Linked DNA regions of Solanum lycopersicum. The protein of the gene in region 1 binds, or shares a complex with, the protein of each later gene. Links are inferred from orthologs where the notes say so. Each region holds a gene or a part of one and is shown in the gene's direction. Other genes may lie near its edges.

What was found. Proteins that work in one complex are often made in the same cells at the same time.
Region 2: ORR (region 1) and photosynthetic NDH subunit of subcomplex B 5, chloroplastic share a complex: the UniProt entries of both Arabidopsis thaliana proteins name them as parts of the chloroplast NDH complex. The link is inferred for Solanum lycopersicum from reciprocal best matches to the Arabidopsis thaliana genes NdhM and PnsB5.

The regions. Positions count from the first base shown.
Region 1 is NC_090803.1:56,432,359-56,435,095, reverse strand, and holds ORR (NAD(P)H-quinone oxidoreductase subunit M, chloroplastic), read left to right. Parts: upstream 1-1,183; 5' UTR 1,184-1,293; coding exon 1,294-1,746; intron 1,747-1,857; coding exon 1,858-2,040; 3' UTR 2,041-2,200; downstream 2,201-2,737. Other genes in the region: uncharacterized protein At1g21580, read left to right, coding at 37-510. UniProt on the Arabidopsis thaliana protein: NDH shuttles electrons from NAD(P)H:plastoquinone, via FMN and iron-sulfur (Fe-S) centers, to quinones in the photosynthetic chain and possibly in a chloroplast respiratory chain.
Region 2 is NC_090808.1:66,330,511-66,334,273, forward strand, and holds photosynthetic NDH subunit of subcomplex B 5, chloroplastic, read left to right. Parts: upstream 1-1,409; 5' UTR 1,410-1,502; coding exon 1,503-1,736; intron 1,737-2,074; coding exon 2,075-2,138; intron 2,139-2,418; coding exon 2,419-2,481; intron 2,482-2,977; coding exon 2,978-3,036; intron 3,037-3,142; coding exon 3,143-3,373; 3' UTR 3,374-3,614; downstream 3,615-3,763. UniProt on the Arabidopsis thaliana protein: NDH shuttles electrons from NAD(P)H:plastoquinone, via FMN and iron-sulfur (Fe-S) centers, to quinones in the photosynthetic chain and possibly in a chloroplast respiratory chain.

The DNA.
Region 1 (2,737 bases):
AAACTTGTGAAATGGGTCATATTTCTAAACATGCAGTGTCAGAAGAAACACACCTATGTCTGCCCCGTTTTTGAAGCAACTGGCAACTGTCCCAAAGGTTCAAACTGCAAGCTTCACCATCCGAAGAACAGAAGGAAGGGAGCGAAAAGGAAAGCTTTGAGCGAGTTAAAGAATGGTCGAGGTCGTTACTTTGGCTCTCCGCACATTCATATTTCTGAGTGCATAACAGCTGGATCAGAGAAGCCTTCTGTCAAGGGGAATAATGACATATTCCTTGAAGGGAAGTTTGTCGATTTTATTAGCCTAGATGGTAGTGACGAAGAGGAACAGACTATTGATCAGAGAAGCGAGGAAAAGCCACTTTGCGAGAGTGGTCCAGCAGAGATGCAACTGGATGATCTCGATGAGCTTATTAAGCCCGTGCGTCTGATAAATAGGAATAGGTCTGTAGGTTCATCTCCCTATATAGATAGCCCAAGTGATATGACCACAAGCTATGTATCAGAGTAGCCTCACCATTGTAAATGAGGTTGTGTAATTAGGTTTATGTAGTGTTCTGCTAGTGCAGAGCAATTTTTTTTCTTTTTATTGTTAGGCTTTTAGTTAATTACTTAGGTATAGGTCTTAGGATTAGGCATATTTTTTGTTTCGCAAAATCTGTTGTGTGAGATAGAACAAGAAAACTGTTGTTATAGTGAGAGAATTAAAGGAAATGAAAATCTTATCCCCTATGTACAAGTCTTTATTGGAAGCTGTTTGACTTTTGTTCTTTAACAATTTTCAAGTCAATCTGAACTCTCTTATTGAGTCTTTATCACAGGTGATAATGAACCTGTAGATTCAATCAGCTGGTGTTATGTTTATTTTACTTTTGACAGGTAAGCATTCTTTTTTTGTAGTGATGAATACACGGATAAAAAAGATTGTTTTTAATAGATCCACCACCATACGAACTTCTGAACTTAAATTTTTTGGTTTTGTCTATATAAGTGAAACGCCCTGCATACTTATCTTTCATGGCTCGGATTCACTAATTAACCAAACCTTTAAACCTGGTTTAACAGGGATAAAAACGAAAGTAATTTAAGTACCTCAAAGTGAGTAATTTGTAATTAACCTTTTATTAAGCACAGCCACAGAACAAAAAAAATATAAGATAATAAAAAGAAGCCATATGTAAGCAAACATTTCCTATCCACACAAAAAGGAGGATATATTAATATCCCAATACCAACATTCAAGAAAAGGCCATAAAAATCACACATAACAAAACACTAGGAGAAAGGGGGAAACATGGCAGCAACTTCAACATACATGGCTTCAACCCATTTCAGCATGTTAAGTTGGAGCACAAAGGGAAAGAATAAACAACTCAAAAGGAGAAACTTCTTCTCAGTTTCAGCACAGCAAGCAGAAGTTGAAGAGTTAAAACTAAAAAAAGAGGAAGAAAAGAAAGAAGAAGAAAAACAAGAAGAGGGGGCAATGAAGAAGCCAAGGCCAGTAGAACCACAAATAAATGTGCAGAGCAAGAACATGACCAGAGAACATGGAGGACAATGGCTCAGTAGTGCTACTAGACATGTTCGAATATATGCAGCTTATATTGATCCCGAAACCTTTGCTTTCGATCAAACACAAATGGATAAACTCACACTCCTTCTTGACCCTACTGATGAATTTGTGTGGACTGATGATACTTGTACCAAAGTCTATTCTTACTTCCAAGAACTTGTTGATCATTATGAGGTAATGAAAACTTCTCTTCATCAATACAAGCTTAATCATGCAATCACTCTTGTACCAAATGGATTAGAAATAGAAATGCTAACTCCAATAACTTTTTATGATCTGGACCAGGGAGCTCCATTGACGGAGTACACGCTTCGCCTGATAGGTTCAGACATAGAGCACTACATAAGAAAACTTCTCTATAATGGAGAAATCCAATACAACATGAATGCAAGAGTTCTTAACTTCAGTATGGGGAAACCAAGAGTTGGGTTCAATTACAATGGACAAATGGAAGATGTAAACCAGTAAATTCAGGTAACAATGTTGACTATATTGAAACAATGAGTAGCAAAAAATGCAGTTGTAACAATGTATAAGAAACTTTCACCTTCTCTGTCTGTTTTGAGAACTTTTCCCAAATGGATTATACACAATACAAATGTTATCTACCTAATCATTGGTGGCAAAAGGGTATTTTATACTGTGGTTTTCATATTCCTAATCATCTAAGCATTGTATCAATACCCCCAATCAAAATTGCAATAGCTTCAAATTTGTTTGAGATTTCCTATATCTACACCACTCCATATATTTAAGCTTACCTCATCTATATTCAACCTACTTTATTATAAAATTATTCGTTTTTTTCCACAAAAATTTTAAAATAATATGTAAAACTTACTAGACTTTAAAACTAACACACTATATTATCTTACATACAAGATTATGTAAGAACAACTATTGATAATGTAAAAAAAAATGAAAATTATTACATCTTATAATTTAATCTTAATAACATAAGTATAAATTAATGATTGTAAAAATATATACTAGAATCTGTAACATAAACAATGGTGGCAGTGAGTCACTAACCGGAGCAATGTACACAAATATTTAATTGTGAAAAAGAAGAAGAAGAGAGACAGAATTTTCGTTCTTTTAAAAGGAGAGAAAATCCCTCTATTTATAGACAAACAAAGAGTAGCGTGAGAAATGTTTATTGTGC
Region 2 (3,763 bases), on another chromosome or scaffold:
AATTATTGAAACTATAGCTACACAGTCTTATTATATCTATGATCTTTGATTCAAACTTGAAATGAATTTACATGGTCATATTCGTTTAATTTGTATTAATATCATGGTAGATGGATTAGATAGATGAAAATATTATTGTCGTTCTTTTGTATTGAATTTTGGATATACATAAAAGAAAGATACAGTATACGTACAGTTGCTTAATAATTAAAGGAAAAATTATATAAAATATCAAATTATTAATTCAAATTAATGTTATAATCATACTTTGATTTAATTGTAACTCGTAGCAAACAATTGTCATTCACCTCTCTCCCCGACGAATTTCGCTTGCCACTCTCCCAGGTCTTGCTCGTCACTCTCCCTCGTCTCACTCACTTTATACAAAAGGCAAATGAATAAATTGTGTTTGTATTTGTATAAAGCGGGAGAAAATTATATGTACACATACATATAATTTCGTCATATACACTTATAATTATACAAATACAGATTTCCTCTACAAGTTCTCTTTTGTCATTCTCTCTTTCTCGCTTTATATAAACACAAATTACAATGTATACTTTGTGTTATATAACTCGAGAGAGAGAGCGATTTGATATACAAATGTTTTATTTCGATACATTGTATACAAATTCAAATTTTATGCAGATATACAAACACATAAAATTGAATTTAGAGGTTGTCAACGATTTATACAAACGAGAGGCTGCCAATGATTTAATGTACCATAGCAAGTATAAAATTTGGTATGGGCCGCAATTATACAAACTATAGTTATAGTATACAAATATGATTTTTTATGTTTGCTAAACCTAAACTTACTTATAATTAAATAGTTTCCTATTGAAATAATTATTTCTGTATGAATGTCGTCGATATTTTCCTCCTTTTTTCTCCCTTATTTTTGTCATAAGTTGGAAAAAAATTTAAAATTTTGAAATATTGGTGAAAATATTTTTTTAAAATAGTTTTAAAATAATTTTTATAATGGTAAGCAAAAAAAAAATCTGGTTTATGGCTAAGAGAGGCTAATTTATTTTGTTTAAAGCATTTTGAATAATCTCATTTAAATAGACATTTACGTTCTCCAATTCTGGATATGTACAATTACAAGCAGACATATAAATATGTATATAATTAAACAAGTAGACACATCCTATGTGACATCGTACGTGACAATTTGCATCCTATATAATGTCCTACGTGCATTATATCACGTAGTACGTCTGTTTATGTTTGTTCAATGTTATATAAATTTAAGTGTTGATTTATCTACAATCAAAGTTGAAAGACATAGATGTCAGATGAAATCAAGTTAAAAGGGGTCGGAAATTGTGGTAACACAATAAGAGACTAAATAGATATTAAAAAAAAAATATAAAACCATAATATATAATAGCCTTATCCACGTATAGCCTTAACCATTCAAAATATATGGATAATAAAGTTAGAAAACATAGAGTAAACAAGCAAGAACAGAGCAACACTACTCAACAACAATGGAGAATTCTTTAACACTTTCACTACTCTCCACAATTCCAGTTCCCAATTCAGTATTCTCAACAAAATGGAGTGTTCTTTTTCGAGGAAATCCATGTTCGATTTCCTCGAAAATTGGTACAAAATGTGGTGGATTTAGATCATCAACAAGATTGTATGCAGGACTAACAGAGATAGAACCAGATATCAACGAAGATCCTGTTGATCGATGGAGAACTAATGGCATTGACATTGTAATGTTTCTTTTCTTTTCTTCGTTGTTTTTAAATAATTGTAGTGTTTGAGTAAGTTTAATATCTTTCATCAACATAGATATCGAATAATTTTGATATAATACAAAATGTCCTTTTAACTTGGCTTTTTTTAACTGACAAATGTATCTATTTTTTCAATTTTATATAAGTCTCTATTTGTGTACATCGAAAATAAGAGGATATAGATGTAACTGAAACAAAATTGAAGGGCATATTTATATATTTATGTAATAATTTTTTTTTTATTGAAATTTTGACGGATTTATTTTAAGGCAGACGCATGTTAACTAATTTTATTTTATTTTAATTTGTTGCAGGAAGATTATGTTTTTGGAAAATACGATGATCATCATACGTACTTTGAAAGTGAAGATAAAAAAGGTACATAACAATATGTGTGTGTTTTTTTCGATTTAATTTGTAATTTGAATTGAAAAATATCTAAATTTGTCCAATGTATTATTATATGAATTCGATCAAGTTAGTCTTCGTTCGACTTTTCGTTTAATAAATCGTTTCATATTTGTCCAACGTGAAATTGGTGAACTCCACGTGTTCAAATTCTTCGAAAAACACAATATTTGAGTAGCTATTTTTACAAAAATAGGTAAATGTATTTATACTTAAACTATACTTAATTCTATATCACTTGCATTTTCAGTATCATTTTGGGGATCCATAGCAGAAGATTATGCTGCTATTGCACCCCCAACAGGATTTCAAGGTATGTAACAAATTACCATAATAATATGATCATTAACTTAGTCATTTACTTTTCGCACTTTGACTAATTTCACGAAATACTTTCCATCAGCAACAAGTATCAGCTAACTCTATCCATCTACCAACACCGATTGTGGTTCACTGGTGGGAGTGTTTCACTCTTAACCACAGGTCTCGGGTTTGAGTATTGGATATGATCTATTGAGAAAATCATGTTGGGAGCGTCACCCTCAAATATAGGACCTGCAATGTGCGATTCGAATTTAGTCGTAATTCCAATGTAAGCTCCGGACATCGGGTGGAAAAAAAAAACTCTATTCATCCACAGTGGATAAGACAAATGAAAGGATCACCTAGAATTTTTCTTCTCTCGCTGAGAATTGAACGTGATGAGACCTCGTGACTCTTAACCAGTTCATTGACCACTAGGGCACACCCTTGAGTGCTTCTTTAGTTATTTACTTAAAATAACTTATTTTTCTGGTGTTCGACAATAGGTATCATTTCATGGCTGTTTCCTCCAGCAATAGTTGCAGGAATGTACTTCAATGTTCCTGTAAGTTAATGACTAAATCTCTACTATATTACACATTTTTCGAGGCTCGAAAACACCCGTTTCCAGCAACTAAAAGTCTTGTATTTTCACTTCTTTGACAATGCAGGGGGAGTATTTGTACATTGGAGCAGCTGTGTTTACAATTGTGTTCTGTATCATTGAGATGGACAAACCAAGTGAAGCACACAATTTCGAGCCTCAAATATATAACATGGAGAGAGGTGCGCGAGATAAGTTAATATCGGATTATAACACAATGGACATTTGGGAATTCAACGAAAAATATGGTGATTTATGGGATTTTACTGTTAAGAAGGACGATATCATGAAACGATAGAAATAAAAAAGAACAACGAATTCATATGTTCTGAATATATCATTAAGGTATCTAAATGAATCGCGTAATGATCATTGGATTTCATCGATTACTCGAAGATGCATATGATCTGGTGTTGTTCCATGGTTGTACTATATGTTTCTTAACTACATTGAGATGAAAAAAAAACTCTAATGAACTCCCTAGCTGAAGAATTACACTGTATATATAAGGTCAAAGTTATATATTTCTTATTAGTATATGTCAAATCCCTTTATCAATTCTTTATATTTTGAATTTCCTTAATAAAAATTCTGATTGCGCTACTGCGATGAGAGTTGTATAAATCAAAGTACATAGGATGTTTAAAGTTACATTAAGAAGGAACTTAAGAGTTGAAAAGTTTGATTG